3 linked regions of the Mytilus edulis genome follow. The protein of the gene in region 1 binds, or shares a complex with, the protein of each later gene. Links are inferred from orthologs where the notes say so. Each region holds a gene or a part of one and is shown on either strand. Other genes may lie near its edges.

Evidence for each region.
Region 2: SNW domain-containing protein 1-like (region 1) and armadillo repeat-containing protein 7-like share a complex: the UniProt entries of both Homo sapiens proteins name them as parts of the minor spliceosome. The link is inferred for Mytilus edulis from reciprocal best matches to the Homo sapiens genes SNW1 and ARMC7.
Region 3: SNW domain-containing protein 1-like (region 1) and probable small nuclear ribonucleoprotein Sm D1 share a complex: the UniProt entries of both Homo sapiens proteins name them as parts of the minor spliceosome. The link is inferred for Mytilus edulis from reciprocal best matches to the Homo sapiens genes SNW1 and SNRPD1.

Annotation. Positions count from the first base shown.
Region 1 is NC_092346.1:18,106,630-18,113,795, forward strand, and holds the start of SNW domain-containing protein 1-like, read right to left. Parts: upstream 3,080-7,166; 5' UTR 2,996-3,079; coding exon 2,976-2,995; intron 524-2,975; coding exon 454-523; intron 1-453. Other genes in the region: aarF domain-containing protein kinase 1-like, read left to right, coding at 5,642-5,782. UniProt on the Homo sapiens protein: Involved in pre-mRNA splicing as component of the spliceosome. As a component of the minor spliceosome, involved in the splicing of U12-type introns in pre-mRNAs.
Region 2 is NC_092344.1:113,818,715-113,826,821, forward strand, and holds the start of armadillo repeat-containing protein 7-like, read left to right. Parts: upstream 1-4,825; 5' UTR 4,826-4,903; exon of another isoform or gene 4,904-4,919; intron 4,920-4,931; exon of another isoform or gene 4,932-4,965; intron 4,966-8,107. Other genes in the region: 5'-AMP-activated protein kinase catalytic subunit alpha-2-like, read right to left, coding at 847-940, 3,352-3,493, 4,514-4,610. UniProt on the Homo sapiens protein: As a component of the minor spliceosome, involved in the splicing of U12-type introns in pre-mRNAs.
Region 3 is NC_092348.1:3,033,216-3,040,610, reverse strand, and holds probable small nuclear ribonucleoprotein Sm D1, read right to left. Parts: upstream 3,283-7,395; 5' UTR 3,161-3,282; coding exon 3,147-3,160; intron 1,956-3,146; coding exon 1,879-1,955; intron 1,369-1,878; coding exon 1,168-1,368; intron 559-1,167; coding exon 455-558; 3' UTR 101-454; downstream 1-100. UniProt on the Homo sapiens protein: Plays a role in pre-mRNA splicing as a core component of the spliceosomal U1, U2, U4 and U5 small nuclear ribonucleoproteins (snRNPs), the building blocks of the spliceosome.

The sequences.
Region 1 (7,166 bases):
TATTGAGCAACGGCAAACTCTAACAGGGACCCATTTCAGCTACTTGATGCAGGGATCTATTTTTAGAAAGAAAGGAAATTTCCAATTATAAATATTATAAAAAATAAAAATAGTTTACACGACGACTGTAAACAGATAAGGGTAAACAACGCAAATGGTTGCCAATAAAAGGGTGGAGAACTCATGGTTTTGGAATATAATGGGTTTTCCTTTGAATTAATTGGGTTATTGAACCCTGCAATGGGCAATTGCATTGGGTTTTTTATTATTTGTATTGCGTGATCACGCAAATACGCAGCTTATCTGGAGCTCTGACTGTTTCAAATTTCATTTGAATAAAATATATAAGAAACTCAGAAGGCACAGTCAAATCAATATTTCATTTACAACTTATCTAACAATATAAGCCATGTGAATCTGATTTTCTATGATGAATGTGTTCCTTGTTTGTACCTGCATTTGTTGTCTAAATGACCTATCTTCATCTTCTCTGTCATATCTTTGCACCGGTGAAGGCAATATACTGAAATGAAAATAAGTTTAAATAAAGATGTTCTTTTACTGTTAGGCCACACTTAAAAAATATTTTGGTTTGCCCAAACCCTACCTAAAGGTAAAAACAGTAGGAAGTTGGTAGGAAGGCATTTTCTTTTCTTATTTTTGGCAAAGAGAAATTGAAGTGTCAGATGTCTTTTACTCTTCATGCATATCAGAATGTTCAGTAAAAGATTTTGAGTATGCAGATATTTTCTGGGTAGGTAAGGTTAGGGCAAACAAACATTTTATTTTGTATGGCCTAATAGAAAGAAGCAACAATTGTAGGGAAAAGAGCACCCAATTATTTTTTTAAACACTTGAAAACAAATGAATTTAAACTTATATCCGTCAGGAAATCTGTTACATTCATTTTTATTTTTGTTTACATAAATAAAGCAGTTACATGTAGTTTTCTATTTGAATTGTTTTACATTTGTCATTTGAGAGCCGTTTCTAGCTAACTATGCAGTATGGGCTTTGCTCATTGTTGAAGGCTGTATGGTGACTGTAGTCAATTTCTGTGCTTTCTGTCTCTAAAGAATTGTCTTATTTGGAATCATACCACATCTTTTTTTTTTGACATAAATCATTTGAAGGCAAAATAACAGTGACTGTCATGACTGTCATACACAGTCACATGTATAACTGATTTGTGTATCAATCATAAATCTGAAATCAGTATATATACTAGGGCAATGATTCAATGACCAGCTTACAGTTGTATGCCACCTTACATTTGATAAATGGGTCAATTGAGATCAATGTGTCCCCTCACCTCCCAATGGGGGGGCTGCTGACTGACCTTAAAGGGAGTGCCTGCTGACTGACCTAAAGGGGGGCACTCCAGTCATGCTTCAGTGTTTCCCTATATAATCAACAAATTTTTTCCCATGAAAAGGGGGGCAGGCTGCCCATGCCCCAATTTTTAAATTTTTTTCTTGTATGAATCGAGGATATGCAAGGTTTTATTTGCCCTTGAAATCCCGGCAATTTTTATTGTAAAATCATGCAGTAGAAGGAAAATTGGAGGACAATAAAAACAAATATTTTGACAAATATGCAAATGGCGTAAATTGGAAAACGAAGCTGTAAATATGGATATATTTCAGCATTTCTATGGTGAAACTGACAACGAGGATTAGTTAAAAGGTTTCTTGTTATCTCAATGTGTTTATTACAATAAATTTGTGTAGGAAATATGAATTGATCGATCATTACGAGACGTAGAAAAAGGGGGGAAAACGGAGGTTGACTGAAAATTTTGAGGACGGAGCCACTGATTTGTGCCACGATTACATAATACCTTGTGTATGGTGCAATACGCTACGGAATCGAGCAATTGGTGTCTTCTTTATTATATGGCAGATAAAACAACAAAATAGATGAAGACGAAATTAGTTTTTTATTCAAAATTCAACACAAATGTAATAAATTACACCTTTTACCTGGTAATTACCTGAAAATGCAGGTAACCTGATAAAAATTTTACTGAAATAACTGCCTAACATTACAGTTCATACTCTCCTGAGCATTTTTCATACAATAACTTTCTCTGTATCTCTTATAATAAAAAAGATACAGCAGTCTGAAAAGAAATATACTGTTCTAATGAATGAACACAAGTCACAAAAAAATGCAGCAGCAGCAGCCATTTTTCTATTTCTTTGTGTAGCGTTGAAAGGGTTAATCAACTGAGCTGGGGAATCGATTCTTTGGCTCAGTGGGTTAATGGATCAAATTTCCAATATTCAAAAAACTATTCCTTTATTCTAATACACCTTATCGCCATTTGTCCGCCATTACTGGATATCACACAGGTTACCGTAAAATTTTGACGTCATAAAGCAAAATATCTGACGCCACAATGGAAAAGTGATTGTTGTTGACATCAAAAGTTCAAGCGGCCGGGTCAGCCGGGATAAGCAATAAGGTGTATTATTATTCTGAATCTGATGACATTAAATTATAAAACCCAAGGTGGGTACACGTAGCCTAGACATAAGACATAAAACTTTAATTAGAGTCGGTATAGATGCATTACAAGTACAACTGTACAAAAATAAACTCTGCAGAGCTTTTAAAACCGAAGAGCCTACGAAGACGAATAATTGGCTATGCGTCCCCCTTATGTATATGAGAAAAAAATAAAGTTATTAGCAAGTGTGGATTATATGAAATAAGCGCAATTTTGAAGGTAACAAAAAAAAAGGTTGTTAATTTTAAGAATACACATAAAATAAAGTACCGCTCATCACCCATTCAGACCCTCGTAATGTTCAAAGACCGGTTCTGTCGCGTGTTTTATTAGTTTGGAGCTGAGTAGGGCCTGAAAGTGCAGATTTTTACAAAATTTGGTTAACTTTTTATTTATTTGACATTTTGCGATAATTGTATTGACCATTATTAGATGTATATTGTAAAAACAATTTGGAACTTACTCCACAAGTTTCATCGCCATCTTGTTTGTCGATATTACGTATTTATTCCCTCCCTTTACCTTCTTTTCGAAAACAACGAAAAAGTCAGTCACTCATTCGGAATTCACTATGACTTTTCGTTCGTTGTGTGTAAATGATCATGAGGATTGAGGATTATGAAACAGACGATCTAGAACTAAGAAAGACAAGGGTATGGACACTGACGTTTATTTTGTCACTTCAAAATTTATATATCCCGAACCTGTATCATACTATAAATAGCAAGCTATTGGACCCAATTTCGAAGATATTTCAATGAGAAATTCAAGACAGTTCTTGAATCAGCTTCAGATTTGACCTTTGACTTTGTTATATTTTTATGTTCATTGATTCATTTGCATAGTGATCCATAGTCCAAATAATTATGACGTCTTGAAAGGCTATTATAATTTTTTTCTTTGACGCCTTAATTCGACAGGCTATTATAGTTTTTTTTCTTTGACGCCTTACGCTAGGGCGCTAGCCTTTCAAGGCTTCATAATTATTTGGACTGTCATTGGCATTGCATAAACAGTGGGTCTCATTGGGGTCTTAGCGTGAAGTGGGATTGCTGATTTTTTGTAAGCATGACACGTGTCAAATTATTGTGCCATGAAAACGGGAAATGAAATCTGGCGGTACATGGGAAATTCCAAAAAGTGAGAATTGCTTACGTACATAGTGTAAGCGGGATATGGGAATCTGACAAAACAGTAAGCGGGATCTGGGATCAGAATCCCCCATTGAGACCCCCTTAAAAGAGTCTTCATTTAGATGAAGAAAAAAAATCACTGTATTTTTTAACAAATAACATCAACACAATTTTAGGAATAAATGATTCAGTTTGTCAACAGATCAAAATATGAGTGAAAAAAATAGAACGACTGTATACATACATCTTATCGCTATTTATCTGCCATTAATGAATATCACACAGGTTCCCGTAAAATTTTGACGTCATAAAACAAAATATCTGACGCCACAATGGAAAAGTGATTGTTGTATGCGTCAAAAGTTCAAATGGCCGGGTCAGCCGGGATTAGTGATAAGGTGTATTGTCCTTTCACCTTGGTTTCTGTTCCCACTGAGAAGCTAGGCTCCAGGTCATTTTGAAATGAATTGCTTCGCCCTAGGTCATTTCGCACTAGACACTGCCAGAGTGGTTTTGAAAATATATTTACATACATGTATCAGATATCGACACGATTTTCGAAATAAATTAAGTGCAATTTTACCGTAAATTTACTGTTGCAATAACTATAGAATAACTAATCGAAGAATTCATATATAGAGAAAAATATTCAATGAGTGACCAATCAACACATTTTTGATTGGATGTGACTTACCTAAAAGATGCTTTTTGTATAATTTTCCATTTAAAATGGACTTTAATTTCTTGTGTTGAATAATTTATTTTATATTTTGGTTTTTTAAATACATTTCATATCCTTGACTTTTGATTAACATGTTTTAGTATGAAATCAGTTTGAAATCTGAGTTTGGACACTGAGTGACAGTTGAATCTGTTACCTAATTTGTGACAATGTGCTTTTAAACATCGAATTAATCAATAGCACTAATGACAGTTACCAGTTTCAATCATTAGATAGATATATGAAGATGTGATGTGAGTGCCAATGAGACAACTCTCAATCCAAATAACAATTTATAAAAGTAAACCATTAAAGGTCAATGTATGGCCTTCATTACAGAGCCTTGGCTCACACCGAACAACAAGCTATAAAGGGCCCCAAAATTACTAGTGTAAAACCATTCAAACAGTGAATTGCCTTGATTGTCTCAGTCTGCGTCGTTAGCCACTAGTCTGATGCCCCAGACTAGTAAATATTGATTCGGACTAGTGGAAATTTTCAAAATTTTATATAGTCATATAGGTACAAGTTTTCATATTTAGTTTCCGGACTAGTAGATGAAAAAGTTTTTGGCACAGACTGTATTAAATGTCTTGAACCATCCCATAAGTTGCAAATGACATTGTATATATAGAGATTTTTTAACTTTAGCTCATCTAAGACCTGTGCATTTGAGCAAAAAAAAAAATTATCATTTTGTTCATATGAAATATAATTATCTAATGCATCATAACAATAAGATGTGAAATGATAACTGACGAGACAACTATCCTAAACAAACCAAAAGACATAGATGTAAGCAACTATAGATCACTGTATGGCCTTCAACAATGAGCAAAACCCATAACATATAGCTATGTAGCTTAGAAAGTAGAAAAGTACTGACATAACAATGTAAAAACTATTCAAATGGGAACAGCCTAATTAAGGTACAAAACAATATTTCATTGAAAAAGAAAAAAAAAATATTAGTTTAAACATATTTATTTACATTTGGAAACAAGTTATTGCAACTTATATTAATCCCTTTCCACTTTGCAGGTGTGAGTGCAGCCTTGTAGTATGTACAATGAGTCTCTGAAATTATCTCTAGAATGGGGATTGAACCAGGAACCTTTGTGTTAGTATTCTGATGCGCTAACCACTACAACACAGCTCTCCTAAAAACTAATAACCAAATATGATAAACACCAACCAACTACAACATATACAACCACTGAATATCCACTAAAATACAATTTTGACTTGGGACTTATTTTTTTCAGATCGTGTAGAATGAGTAGACACCTCCTCAAGAAAACCTTGAAATATCTGACTGTTGGAGGACTAGGAACAGGGTCAGGCTATTTTCTGTATAAAAATGATTGGGAGGTTTCTACCATTGGAGTAGTAAGATTTGGACGTGCAGCTTTTACAGTAGGTATTTTAATCAAATATTGGTTAGAATTAAAATCACAGTTGTTTAATTAGGTCTTTCCACTTTTCTGTGGAAAGAACTATTGTATTTGTTCTGATTATTTATTTTTGTTCCAGCCAAATTTTGTTCTTGCGATAAATGTTTGTTTCGCAATATGTCGCTTAGATATTTCTCATATTGTATCGTATAGTTTATGTGCTTTTAAATTTCACCCTGCTAAACTGAACCATTTTCTTTGTAAGAGTTATCTCCCTATTCACTGTTTATCATCAGAGTGCATCTCCTTCGTAACAAAAAAAGATATTGACAAAATTTCTTTTACAAATTGTTCGTTACAGCCTCAGGAATTTTTAGCTAATTTGAATCGAAGCGATTCGATGAACTTTTATATGAGTTATCTACCTTTACGAAATAAATTTGTCGGTATGTGTTATTAACTTATAAACCATTTACCCTATAACCCTGGAAAGTTTTTATTTGAGGCCCCTACGTCCTTACTTAGAAAGGTCAAGGTCAAGTTCTCAATTGTGACTTTTCCTTGTTTTTGCATTTTCTCCAACACTTTAAAAGATATGAATAAAAGAACAAGTGCATAATGATTGCTTTATGGTAATGAAGATATGTTACATTTGGTCTGATACAATCTCATGGCATCTTATAAGAATTAGTGCCCCTGAAATGTCTAATTATAAGGTTAATTGATTATTACTTCAACTTGGTTCATTATAAAGCCAAATGACCTTTAACAAAAGGTTGGGTGACATATGACCTTGAAAATTGACAACCGGAAGTGACATTGAAAAAAACCGGAAGTAACCTTTTTTGCACTTTTTCATGAAAAATTACTCTGAATCCATATATTTTGTAATTTTGATACCTTTTCTTATCACTTAAAACTTAAACTGACTTTTGATAAGCGGGAAGTGGTCAATTATTCCTGGTTTACAAACAAAAGTATTAGAAACTATATATTTTTGGAATCAGTGTGAAAGAAGCTATCATATGAGACTGGAAGTGACATTTACTTCACCGGAAGTAGCACATTATCTCCCTTATTTCCCATCAAAGTATATAGAAAACCATTATTTATTCAATCAGTATGAAGAAACTTATGATTGGATGCCATTTTTAACTTTCAGTTAACAGGAACTACAAATGTACCGTACCTTCTTTTCAACAATTATTTCAAATTAATTTATTGTGGAAAGACCTTCAATTGTTCTCTGAACAATTGGTTTTTAATTTATATTATTTTGTATCATCAGAGCATATATTTTCATAAGCACTTAAGACTGTAAATTACCTAACAAAGATGAGAAATTGCCTCGTCCCAGACAAGATAATATTTTTTGAATGAGTACAAGGTCCTTGCATCCTTTATCA
Region 2 (8,107 bases), on another chromosome or scaffold:
GACAGAATAAACAAACATTGTGTGATTTGAGTCTACAGATGCAGTGTTATAATACCCATTCCAGTTATAATTCTGTGGTTAGATTATTTTACATGTGTATTATTAGAGTGGCACACAAGTTTTAAATTACAGCAATCACCAAATCAAAGAATCAATCACAAGAGAACTTCAACAATCTATTACTCAAATGTTAAGATCAACAAAACACTGCTAACCTACATTTATAACATACCAATATTGAGGAAATTTTCTACTTTATAACAGCAGCATGTTCATTTGTATTTTGAAATTTCTACATACTGCTGTATAAATGTATGTACATGTACTGTATGTGTATTCTTCCATTGTATGATAAAAAATTGTAAATACTTAAATTTGTTCACAACTAGCCTAATTGGTGCAATTTTAAGAAAGGGGAGATAATCCTTAATATAAATACTTACTTTTCCATGTTTGACAATGTAATCAAACAATTCCCCTCCTCCCACATATTCCATCACCATGAATATGTCTGTAGGAGTACTTATCACCTGGTACCTGCCGGAAACAGGTCAAATTAGCAAACAATCCAGTGCTATTATATAATATCTACAGAATTTGTCTCAAAATGCTTTATAACTTCCAGAAATGACGGCAGATTATGTCTGCAATACATTTTATACATTGAATGTGACCAAAAATTTATTCTCACAAAATGGCCATGGTCTGATTTATAATTTGATTAAAAGCCATTTCAATTTTTAAGTGTCTTTCAAAATAATCAACATGGTTCAAGATGACCATGTTTGCTTCTGTAAGTTGAAAAAACATTTTGAGACAGTCTCCTATCTAGTGCTTTAGACTTACTTTGCCTTTCTTGACAATATAATCAAACAGTTCCCCGCCAGCCACGTACTCCATAACCATAAATATATCTGTAGGGGTACTCATCACTTGATACCTGAGGTTTTATTACGCAACAAAAATTAACCATCAAATTAAATACAACCAAAATTGGAGTCAAATCAGTATTTTTCTAATTTGACAAGAAAGTGTTTGAATAAAAAAATTTATCTACAAGTTTTAAATGAAAACTTTCCTGAATAAAATTAAGATTTAACATAAGAAGAAAGGCATGTAAAAGGATTTTAAGTCGACTTGAAAAACATAGTACACAAATACATGTATGTAAAAAAGTGTCTATTTCATATATATCATGTATATCTACATGTATAATTAACATGAATAAAATTGATACATATAAAACTTACATTTATTAACTAAATTTCTTATTATTCTCTCTGTAAATTAAAGTCTAAGACTCTATGGTCTCATAAAATACAACACAAAACAATTCAAGCGATTCCATCAAAGTAAGATTGTCTCAATGTCAAAGGCATCTAGGTAAAATTAATATTTAATTGGACTATCATATACATGTAGACAGGATAAGACAACTGATATACAAATGTCTAATTTTTAAATGGTCCCACTTTTGAAATTTTTCTCTGTATTTGCTTTAAACTAGCTAACTAAGTTGAATGATATCACCAAATATTTTGACCGAATAAATCCATGTACATGTATCAACTATCAAGTCATGTTTTTTTTATGATTGTTGCTCTTAATAGAAATTAAACAGAGATTTCAGAAATATATCTATAAATAGGTATTTGGAAGGCATCCCAAAATGGCAATAAGATTATCCCACATACCGGACTATTTCTTCCCACAAAATTTTGACATTTTACCATGATCATCATCAAAATTCAAAATACTTTACATGTACTTGGCTAAACAATTCATTACATCAACAAAGACTGGACTAAAATATTTGTTTTATATTCTAGGCAAACATGAATCAGACCAAAAATAGATATACCTTTTAATTCTAAAATATTTTTTTCTTAAATAATGTAACCAGATGACCTTGACACTTGAGCTTTGATTGATATCAAATAAGGTTGAAAAACAGAGCCAAAGTTTGGTGAAGACAGGAAAAGGAGAATCTACACTACTCACAATCATTCCAATGAAGTTACTTATAGATTGTTATTTGGATTTTTTTCAGGTATTTTGTACAGAGATGAGTTAACTGTAAGCATGGTAAGATATTCTCAATAATTAAAACAAGATGGCTGACAGGAACAGTGATCATATCTAAAAATAATATATATTTTTTTGTAACATATTTCAAAATGCAAAAAATGTACTGAAATTCAGTGAAACAATATAGATCAACAAAGCAAATAAAATGGACATTAAGTCTTTTCAAATTAAAGAACAGAGAAGTGGAGTTAGTTTGAAGAGATAAAATTGAATCAAGAGACTAACCATACACAGTAAAGGAAACATTACAATGTTGACATCAGCAATCATATAAAATTATGCTATTTCAAACAACTTTTTTCTATATCTAAGGTAAGAATGGATCACTATTAAGAATCCTGACCAACTTTAATGCTCTAAATTCTGCTTCCAGTTAAAAAAAAATCTTATTCATCTACTACATGTACATATATGTAACATATTTGGTGAAATAAACTCCACCTACTATCTTAGAAATGTGTAAATAAAATATAATATTGTCATCATAATTGATAATTACAATGTATATATATATATATATGTAAGTAGTCAAGACAATTTTGTAATTTATGGATCCAAAATGTGCAAACTTTCAAATCTTGCAACAAAATCAAATTAATATAATATCCTTTTTCAGAGAAGACAGATTTGAATCATCCAAGTCAGAGTGGATTCTATTAAGTGAATGGATTTCTATAAACATGATAAAAGAGGAAACAAGAAATATAGATAACTAAAGTACATGTATGTATCACATACATACAAAACATGTATATACACATGAACAAGAAATGGAGATAACTAAAGTATGAAACAAATGTATATACACTTAAACAAGATTTATTACATTGGTTATAGAGAAGTATAATCATTTTAATCAAGTAAAAATTGACTTTTGACATGTCACCAATAGGTGTTTTCTGGACATTGTTAAAGACTTTGCATCAAAACAAATTAAAAGGCATAGAAAAAGATATAATTGTTCTAAATATAAGAATTTGTAAACTGAATTTACATTAAAAGCCAATACAATAAAAAAGAAATAATAATCCAAGAATTCACAAATATCCTTAAACATTTAACTCTTGATGACCAATCAACACTGAATTTTGTGAATTTATGTTTTGTTCGAATTCTGATACTTTTCTAATATTTTTGACATTCAAATTCTCAGATTACCGGTATACATGTATATACATATACATGTATAAAAATTACAATGAATATATTCTAAAATTAAAAGTTAATTTAAGAATATAATATCATACAATGTTGGAGACTTACAATTTAATAATGTGTGGATGTCTAAACAGCTTGAGGTTTTGTATTTCTCTTTTGATCTTAGACACAACATCTAAACTTTTTATTTTGTTTCTGTTTAAAATCTTTACAGCCACCTTATGACTGGTGATATAATGTGTCGCAACTGAAAAGAAAACAAAGCATACTATCATGTGTGGTACAATGTATGAGGTATAAATTACAATGTCAATGAATGCGAAGCAACTGAAATCGACTCATTTTGTTACATGTACATTCATTGTTGTCAATATAATCACAATTGTATTTTTAATGTCATACAAGTGAGAGGTTTGGCTAGTTATACAACCAGATTTAATCTACCATTCATGTACATATGGAAATGGCTTTACCAAGTCCAGAATGTAACAGTTATGTTCTATTTGTTTGATGTGGTTAAGCTTTTGAATTTGCCATTAAATAAAGGACTTAGGTTCCTTTGTTTTTGAAACACTTGACACTTACAGGAATTTGTCTAAATGACTGGTTTTTTTCCAGACCAGACTAAATAGCCATAAGGTGTGTTAGATGACCAGTAAGGATTTGGCTGAGTAATGAAGTTGAAGTTAAGTGACTGTCAGACACAGCTGCAGTTAAGTCCAAACCATTATGACATCTTGAACATGTTGAAAGGCTTTTTTAAATTTGTGCTTTATCTTCAGGTAAGGGAGCTACCATTTGATTTTTAGGGGGGAGGGGGAGGAGCTAGGTCACGTAGGTGGAAAAATTCTTGTCCTGCTTTTATTTATTTATTTCTAGTTATTATAATCTCTGTCCTACATGTACCTTTTCATATTTCACATTAAGCCTTTCCTCAATGAATTTCTTTTTTGCATAATTTTTTCAATAAAAAAAAAATCATAGACTTAGTCCCCATTCACAGGTAATTCCTGCCTCATATTAGGGAAGAAGTGAGGATGCCCCAAAACGCACTAATGGCTTTCACAAATATCAACTTTTTAAAAGATGTGAAACAAACTAAGAATAACTCGTAGGTTAATTATCATTTAGACAAGGTTCCAGTTATTTTTAATAGGAATTCTGTGTATACAAATTATGTCAATGACCTTCACCTTCTGTATGCCATATTTATAACATTGGTTGACCTTTTTTTATGGCAATGTCTGTAATAAACAAAAACACATACTTTTGACCTTTCCAAATGTCCCAGTTCCTAGTGTTTCACCAAGAATGTAGTGGCCAATCTTCACCTGACCAGCAGTGGCTGGACTTTTCTCCGCCATTGCAGTTTTTGTGTGAAGCTGTTTGACTGTTTCCTCCGTCGACTGAAGTGTTTACTTGCAGATGGTGCTACTTAAGTTGTAGAGGAATTCTTATATATCTGTTCATAAGATCAACATCCAACGTTTCATTATCAGCTCGATTTAATTTCCTATCAGTCTTGTAAGGCTCGTCTTGTTGGGTCCTTTCAGTTTGTCAACAATATGTCACGTGATTTGTAAAACTTTCGGAAGTCTCTGGACTTTACGTAAACTCAGATTTCCAATGTTTATTTCCGGTTAAATAGAAAGTAAAAGTAAGACTATATTCATCTGAAAAAGGCAAATTTCAACAAAATCTTTTACATTGTAACAAACTGTTGGTTAAATTTTTTACAAAAGCTTTATTGAATTCGGTTATTGAAATAGTGGATACCACATCTCCTTATTTTCATTATTTGTTATGAGGCAGGCATTCTGTAATCTGTATAATAAATTCTGCCACTGCCAGTCAAGGCACACCTCCAATTATAGCTGGAGTGACATCCACCACCACGAATATATATATAATTATCGGTCGTCCCACTGTCAATATCACTCTGTTCAGCTCATAATATTATTCCGTATCATGTCTTTGTGACGTCAAATACGTTGACTCGGCCTTAATAACTTTGACCCGGACATATCAGCGACGTCATAATGTTTGAACCGACATTAATAACTTTGACCCGAACTTATCAAGTCATCTTTTGTGTGCTGGTGAAACAAAGAAAACACTTCCGAAACACGCAAATATAGCCCGATAAATCGATTATCAGATTATCTGCATATTTATATTGTAAAATATCAGCTGCTTGACATTATATGAAGGCTACGCTCACTCGACAAAAAGCTTCATATTATGTCTCGCAGCTGATATTTTACGATATCAACATGCAGATAACCTGATAATCGGTACATATCACACAAATAATGGTTCCATCCACTGGAATATTATATACACAAATATCAATTTATACTATACGCAATAGGCAATTTTAAAATCTAAAATTATCTAAATAAGAAGTGATAATAATTAATTTTACCTTAATCCAAATAATTATGACGTCTGGCAAGGCTAGGAAGGCGTCCCAGAAAAAAATTAAAATAGCCTTGCTAGACGTATGAAGGCGTCCCAGAAAAAAATTTAAATAGCATTGCCAGACGTCATGTAACACGAGGACGAAGTCCACTATTACAGTAGAAAATTCAATAGAAAAAAAAAAGAAAAAAAAAATCGGGAAAATTTCCCGAATTTTTCATTGTACTAATGAACTCAAAATCGTTCAATTTTTTTTTGTCGCGTTTTTTAATTTCCGGATTTGCGCAGAACACATAACTCTACTTCCTTTTTCCGGTCTTGTTGTCGTGAGACTTTGATTAGTCTAGTAAAATATAGGAACTCAATGAACACAATACCAATATTTCATTTTTAATCATTCTTTGTCTTTCAAATTGGTATGAATAAACGTTACCTGATGCATTGCATTTCTTTGTTTACATTGAACATGACGTCATAACTTAAATAACGTCACAAGTAAAATCCCTAACAACAGAACCAAAATCGGAAACGTTACGGTATTTCCGTTTCTTTTTGTAACAAATATTTAAGTTACAAAAAAATTAATTTAAACAAACTTCGTCCCCATTCACAGGTAATGCCTGCCTCATATTAATTATGACGTTAAAATAGCCTTGCCAGACATCATAATTATTTTGACTAGCATTACCTGTAAATGGGGACGAAGTCTGTATTCATGTTTTTTAAATCAAACATGTTAAAAAGAGAAACAGAAATACTGCAACGTTTCCGATTTTGGTTCTGTTGTTAGGGATTTTAGTTGTGATGTTATTTAAGTTATGATGTCATATTCAATGTAAACAAAGAAACGCTGTCATCAGATAACGTTCTTTTTTATAAAAAAACAATTTTTAGAAATGAATTAGTATTGAGTTCCTTTCTTAGACTGATAAATATACATTTTATTCAAAGTCTCATGCAAACAAGACCAGAAACGGAAGTAGATTTCTGCGCAGATCCGCAAAGGAGTAGGGGCAATAAGGCCCTTATTTGGCCCAAAATTTACTGCAAATTTAAAAGTTATCATACATATTTTTAAATTACTGAAAAGTATCTCAGGTAGAAGGAATTCAGAAAAACAAAATAGTTTTGGACATTGAACAAGTTATCATGGCAACAAGTCATGCCTTAATTTGCATATTTTGTAAAATTTTGTGATTTTCCTTGTTTTTCATCAAATTTTTAAGTATATTTTCGATTGGAAAAGTATGTGCGCACCCAAGAAACAACTTTATATTTGGTGAGATTTTGTCAATAGTAATAAAGCTTCAGTTAAATTATTTTGTTGTTTCTTGGCTGCGCACAATGTTTCCACAACAGAAATAAAGATGAAAAACTGCATAAATTCTGAATTTTCATCATTTTTGTGAAAACAGTACATATTATGACGTAATTGTGACGTCATCACATAAGAATCTTAATGTTTTTCATTTATGTTTCTTGACCCTATGCAATTCTAAAGATTATGTGCCAATTTGAAAAAGTTATCAAAAATTTTATTTTCTTGGGCCAAAACCAGGCCTTAATGCCCCTACTCCTTCAAAAACGCGACAACAAAAATTTTGAACGATTTTGAGTTCTTTGTGCAATGAAAAATTTGCGATTTTTTTTTTTTTTTTTTTTTTTTTTTAATTTTCTACTGAAATAGGGGACTATGTCCCCATATCACAGAGTTTCACTATCACTATCAGGCATGTGCTATCTGCTATAGATCTGTCAGATCAGCTTCTAGTCTACTCCAAATAATAATGACATCTTGCAATTCTATTTTATTTTTTTCTTGGACGCCTTCCTTTAAAAAGCCTTGCAAGACGTTATAATTATTTGGACTACTTTTAGTTTAAAAGTTTATGAAGTCTTGAAATGTGTTGCAACCATGTTTTGCATATTTGTTTTTTGTTCAATTTTTACATAAATTAGGCTGTTATTTTTATTGTTTGAATTATTTTACATTGTAATTTCGGGGCATTTTATAGCTGACTATGCGGTATGGGCTTTGCTCATAGTTGAAGGCCGTTAGGTGACCTGTAGTTGTTAATTTCTGTGTTGGGCTCTTGTGGAGAGTTGTCTAATTGGCAATCATACCACATCTTCTTTTTTATATTGAAAGTCTATTTTATTTTTTTGCTTTTATTGCCTCCTGCGTCATAGAAAGGAGTCAAAGCAAAAAAATATTAGCCTTCCAATTAAGACATCATAATTATTTGTACTTATCATCAGCTCCCATAGGTTATTACTTTTCAGTATGTTCAGACACAATGTCACATGATTTGTCCGTTTAAGGGACTCCCCTTTTGCTTTAATTCAAGAAAGTTACAGCATCTATTCTATTGTCACAGTGGTTGTCTGTTCTCCTCGAGTTCAGAATGATGTGTGTGTGTTTGAACCCCAGCTTAATAAT
Region 3 (7,395 bases), on another chromosome or scaffold:
TTATTCAAAACTAACATGATCAGTAGAAGCAAGATGTATATTAATATCATATACATTTACATTTACATTTGTAGTTCAAAGGCAATGAGGCAAAACATAATTTTGAAATAATTTTTTTTATTTTGTTTTATTTCTGTACAAAAATGACGACGAAGATGAAACATGATGTGACATTAAAAATGAAAAGAATGTACATGATTAAAATATGTCCATGTGGAATTGCTTCATGTCTTTCGTACTTATCTTCATCTGTTTATTTCCTGATTTTGAGAATACTTGAAAAAATTTCACAAAAGAATAGTGTTTCTTCATGTCTGCATGTTATCAGGAATATTATAACAAAAGAATAAAAGAAAGTTACAACATAATTTTTTGCTGTTGGTCAAAAAACAATATATAGCTGTAGATTTCCTTTCTACTTTCACTTTGTCTTTGATTTTACACATAAAAGAGTTTATCGTCTTCCTCTTGGTGGCCCTCGTCCACGACCTCTCATTCCACCACCACCACCACCTCTACCGCCACGACCACCACGTCCTCCTCTACCTCCTCGGCCACCTGAAATAAAAATATAATTTGAGTCAAATGTGACAGCATTACAATGTTCAAAACCATATTGTAACAAGGTAGCAAATAATCAAGAGAGCCAATTGAAAAAGCATTAAGTTCACAAACCACATTGTAGATTTCACAAAATTAATTAACCTTCTATCTAATTTCAATGATCCTGTTTTGACGCTTATTGGAAAACTCTTTATATTAACCTTATAATGTATTATAACAATCCCAATTTCAATTTTTTATAATTCGATGATAACAAACGTTTTTTTTATTTACAGGTATATTTTAATAACTTTGTGGGAATTGCAAACCATATCAAAACTTTTACCACCATGACAACTGCTAGTATGATTTCTACCATACTAATAAATAATAATTGTCACTGTCTGAAAAGTGTTTCAACCTCACTGTTATTATTAATAATAGTACTAATGTATTTCATAAAAAGAAACTAGTACAAGAGTTTTTTTGTGTGTTTGTACGATTTTCAACTATTTATTTGTGACTTTCAGAGATATTAATTTGTAAGTTGCTGTCTATTGACCATTTTCCCTATTTAATGGTGAAAGTGATGGACCTAAAAAACATAAAATGTTGATTACTTACCCCTATCCCTTCCACCTCTAAATCCACCACGTCCTTTAGGTGTGTCGTCAATCAATAATGTGTCAAGTGGCAAACTGTCAGGTAAGATGTAATATCGGATATTGTTACCACGGATACTAAGTGTGTCCAGCTGTACTGGGTCTTTGTTTTTAACTGTCATCTTTACAGATTTCAAATGGGTATTCATACTGACATCAACCCCTACAAATATAATCATCTTTCAATGTTAAAATTCATTTATATAATTGTGCATTGTTTTTTTAGTCATAAAGGAATTTTATATAAGCTTTATTCGATGTGACTATTGTTCGTATTATGAATAAGACCAAATTAAATAATATGTATTTGATATTCAATAAACTAATAGTATATAAACACAAGCTCTACTGTCTCAGGTTTTAAATCCAGTGAATAACAAAATATATACATTTGTACACACATACAGTCATTAAAAGAGCACAATTTTAAACATAAGATACCATAAATGACATATAAAAGTTAAAAGCATAGTATGCAAAATGGGTTTATAACCAGTTATCTTTTTAGTGAAATCTGACAACTCAATATCCGACTAAAACATTAACCAAAATACAGTACAATTTGTAACTTGCTCTGAATAATGGTCTCCATCTGCAAAAAAAATAGGTACAGTGCTGTTGCAAAGTATCCAAGGCAGGGATTTTTTATCGAAGTTTTGCAATTAGACAATACCTGTTACTGTTCCATGGACCTGTGTTCCATTCTTTAGTTCAATAGTGACTGTCTCGTGGGACAATTTCATCAAAAATCTGTAAAACAAAATCAAAATTGTCAAGACTCATGATCATCTCACAAATTAAAGCTCTACTTTATTTTGCGAAATGTTTTACATGTTTGGCTTTTCAAATTTATATAACAGTATGTACCTGATGTCAGCTTATTTAATTCCAGTAACATTGGTCAATATATGTTGGTACCCAATACCAATTTTATGAGTATTTTCCCCAACCTGTATTATAAAAAAGTCAATGAAGTCTGCAAGGCAAATACAGAACATACGTCTTCAATTCTATTCCCAGAAACTCAAAGGATGGATGTCAGAATCATGCATAGCTAAACATGTAGACCTCCCCCGTTTTTGCTCTTGATAAAGTACATGCAATTCCCTTTGTTTTGTTTTAATAGTATTTGATTTGCCTATACCATGTTTACCAAATGTCAAAATGCCGAAATCGATGGGTCACTGTGAAAACTGTCTAATAATGAGAAAATAAAGGTTGGCAGGTAAGTGAAACTTACATAAATGAAGAGATAAATGAAAAATGAACAGATTGATGCCCGATTTATATAATTCCAAGGCCGTCAGTCAGCACCAGAAGCGACGAAGCAGCGCATCTATTTTGGGTGGGAAAATATCCACTTTTTGATATGGGACGAGCTCTGACGTCCCACGGCCCCAGCTTGTCTGGCAAAACAGCCGTTGGACGTCAGAGTAATCTCGGACTACTTGTGTTATATAAAGGTATATACGAGTGCCTGTGCTTGGAGGGCTCCGGATCAGGAAAAGGATTCAAAATCAGATACATGTATATATCTTGTACATTGAATTAACTTGTAAATTGTTTGTCAATCAAGACAAGATTGAAGCAACAAAAATGGGGGAAGAAGCGCCTCTGTCAAATATATTTTTCTCGTATCATAGCTGAAAACAGGTTTAAAAATATGCAAACATTCTAGACTGAAGAGGTGAATTTATGCATCTAATGGAAAGGGCTTCCAGTGCAGAAAATACTGCGTTCCGTCATATCAGAAACTATGTCACAGAGGGATGAATTCCATATAAATTGTTCAATATATTTGATAAAGACTTAGCGTGGGGCACTCGTCATTTTAATTGGAGTTTTCTTAATGAATGTTTGCAACAATCCACAAAATAACGATATTATTGCACCTTCCCTTCATTCATCTATATAAATTCCAATTATTGGAATTGCTATTACCTCACAAGCTTCATGATTACATGGATTTGTATACCATGTACAGGAAAAAATATTAATAATGGCGGCAACCGGCTCGTCTTGTTTACGTATGAACTAAACGCTTGACCGAGTGCCTATTTTGGTCTTGAGATAAAACATAACAACGACCTGCTGAAAGTTTTTAGCGACTGGTACTAAATGGTTTTCCCTTCCTGTTACCCTTTTGGGCAAAATATTAGCTTTTTAAAAAAGCCGACAAGATTGAATTAATTACTATCCATTTCTTGTTTCTCTTACCATTGTAAGGATTGATGTAAATATATAATAACGAACTAATCAATCATCACTCACACATTAAAGGAGTCGATTGGAGTTTATGATTTTACAATTGGCCTATTCAGAGACCAATGTGTTTGGCATAATTTAACAGCGACATATATAAGAAAGGGGACAATAAGGGGTCCGTTAACATGTTAACTACATCTCAATTTTGGCAAAAACAGTTAACAACAAAACAACAAATTCAAAAATGTTGATTAACACAGTGGGTTGAAAACAGTTAACAGTTTAAATTCATTTCAGATAACAGTTTTAAAACAACACCTTGAAAAAGGCCAAAACAGGTTTATAAATATCAAAAGGTTACATGATAACCCCCCCCCCCCCCCCTCTTGATAACATTATTTAAATTTTCAATTCATGAAACTTGGTACTTTAAATTATAGAATCAGCTGTCATAACATTCCAGACTAGTGGAGACAAATTGAACTGAACAGTTTACAAAAAATATTGTTAGCCTTGAAATACTGTCAAATAGAAAATAAAAGAATACAAAAAAATACTCCAAAAAAGAAACAGAAAAAACGGTCATTGTCTTATGTGTATTATTTTGTTTCAAATCCTGATTCTACAATTACCATAACAAAAAGATTATTTCTTCCATTGGGGACTCACTCCATTGTCTTAGATGTCTATATGGTGGTTCTCGTTCTCAGTTTAGTCTACTGGTGTCAGTAATACATAAAGAGAAGACAAGAAAAGAAAAGAGAACAAAAGAGAAGAGAACAAAAGAAAAGAAAAGAAAAGAAAAGAAAGGGAAAAAAATATGAGTCACTGCCCTAGTTTCTCAGGCTAAGTGATAACTCGCGGTACCTTAATTTTTAGGTATCAGGATTTGGGCTTGCTAGATCAAATCTCCTAAAACTCCTAAAATGATCTAAGATCATATAAATATGTGCTGTTCTTTCGTTGGTATCTTTTGTTGTTTGTGACAGAGGTGTTTTCACATCCGTGTCTGGGTGTTCAATGTGTTCAACTGTTTAATAATTTCTTTTCTTCCTGTTAGTATCAATGCATGTCTTGGTTAATTAAGTCACAAGTTTTGCAATATGTAGTGTTAGGGATTGATCTATTTGATGGCGATATTTATTTATCCTATCATAGTCCATTATTAGTTCAGAATAAGATAATGATATAATAATAGAAAAAATAAAGGATTTGGGGTATCCATCCATGACACAAAATCAGTATAGCAAATAAACAGCGCTCTTGTTGCTGTTTTCATCTCAAAGTCACACCGAGGCCTTCAACTAGAAGCATCATATACCCCTCTCACCTCACTGCGGCAAGTTTTTTTTTGTTTTATTTTCAACTTCAGATACTTTAAATTTATTTCACTAATAGTTGTTAACAGGGCTTCTTAATGTTACAACAATCGCACTAAGGTTCTTCCCGCTGTATCGTTAACTTGATGCGGCAAGTTTATAACGGTCCCTAGTACCAGTCTGAGCGGAATGATACATAGCAGACATACCCCTGGTATATTGGTACTTCTCCGGCTTAATAGCTGTTGAAATGTGAATGTTGCTTCATGTATGATGTATTCCTATACATTATATATATGTGTATTAATATGGACTGCAAGTGTATATGAACCTCTATATATACATCACATTAAACGGGGTAAACAGTGTCAACCATGTCGAATTCAAATGCTGCATGGCGTCCAGATATTTCTGAAGGCTATTATTGTCTTTTGAACTTCTTTTGCAGGACGTAAAATGGTATACTGTTGTCCGTATGTCCGTCAGTTCTTAGTCAGAATATGGGTCAATAACTCAAAACCGCTTTAAATAACCAATTTTCATGAAACTTTATATCCATTGACGTAATCTTCCATTCGATTTTAATCATTTTAGATTTTATGTTCCCAAGTAAAGGGATTTTATTCGCAAAAAAGGTGATTTTCCAGTTTTCGGACAACAACTGAAAAAAGCTTCGAACAGTTTTCATAAAACTTTGGTGACTGGTTTATATTTATCAAGAAATGCTCCCTTTATGTTTTTTTTATTTTATTATAAATTTCTTTTATGACATTGAGGAGAAATAGAACTGTATTCGTTGAAACACCGTAAGTAACAGTGGCAGATCCAGAACTTTTATAAAAGGGGGGGGGTAAGTAAATTTTATTTAGAGTCGGGCATGATATAAACAATTCAACAAGGTAAACATGAGCTCTGTAGAGCTATTTACCGACAGGCGACGTATCATCATGCGCACATGAATGGCGCAGTTCTTTATTTATTATTTGGAATTACCTGGCCTTTACATGATCTATATGATGCAACTACCTAAGGAGAGCAGTTATAGCATATAGCAGGAATAAATGGAAAACTCGACTTTTATTTAAGGTACTTCTAAAAATTCGCAGTTGCGATCTAATTAAAATATCGATATCTGATTACGTTAAACTACATATGAGAATCGTAATCAGAGATCTATATTTTACTGATTAAATTGTCGATGTTGCTTATTTTAAGAAAGAAAGTGTATTTTCAGATTGGAAGCTGACTACCCACTTCATATCTTTTCATCTTTTGACAGCAATTAACAGTCGCATTTGCTAATTAAACACGAGATTGTCAGGGACGTGGCTATATACAAAGCTTTGGAAAAGCCGAACTTTTAAATCTAGTCCCATGTGTTCATCATTACAAGAGTTCATCTGCTAAGTAATGAATTTAGCCAGCGCTCACATGATCTTTCCTTGCTAAGTAATATGCCAGGGTTGAGTTCAATATCGTAGCAGCTACGTAGCGGCTACGTATATATGTAGCTGCATGCTATCAATATATATGTAGCAGCTAGTCTATAGCTACACATTCAATAATCAAAATATACTACGTAGCAGCTACGATATTGAACGCGGCCCATGGTATTTGATTATCTATAAAATATCGTTGGATTTCAGTTGCCGGATGATGATAACATGCGTGAAATGCTCCGTGTAGTACTGTCACCAAGAGGTACCTCAATATCACGTAAACTTTAATTCTCCATGCACTGGTATGGCTTTTACATTTAGTTCTGAGAATTGCAGATACTTTAGATTGACTTTAGTATTGGTAGTTTAAAAGTCATCACAAATAAAGCCTAATAAGTTGAAATAAACTACAAACGCTATTGATAAAAAGAAAAGAAAACTAGAATTGCCATTGCAAGCAATAGCGGATGTCACCCTTCCCCTATTGCCACTAAGCGGCAACCATTTGAAAACAATTTAACAGTGAATGCAGATCAACGCATTGCGATATATCTTTCTGTAAATTTTCAGTACATTTTGAGCATTGTCAAAAGTTTCACATTTCTTCTGTTTCCATGGCAACGGCAGCCATTTTGAAAATTCCGAAGTCAAAAGTCTCATTTATACATGCCAGTTGACAATAATATTAAGTTTCATTAAGTTTGGAGCATTTTGAAAATATTTGACATTTCTGCAGTTTCCATGGCAACGGTGGCCATTTTGGAAATTCCAACTTCAAAAGTCTCATGTAGACTTGACAGTCAACAAATATAGTAAGTTTCATCAATTTTGGAGCATTTTGAAATTTTTGAAAATTTTGACATTTTGGCTGGTTTCTATGGTAACAGATACCATTCCAAATTTCTAATGGCAAATACCACATTGGTACATGGGAGGGAACATATATATACCATCAAAGTTTCAATGGATTTGACCTACCATTTTAAGAAAGTAAATGCCACTTTAAGGTTTTTGAAGCATTTTCACCATTTTTGACTTGTTTCCATGGTAACGGCAGACATTTTTGAAATTCCAACGCCAAATTGCACATCTTCCAATGTCGCTCATCGTTACTGTGGAGTTTTATTAAATTTGGAGCATTTTGATATTTTGGAAATTTTTGGTGTAGTTTCCATGGCAACATGATAGTTCCAATGATTGCCAAAATCATCTAAAACCAGTATATGC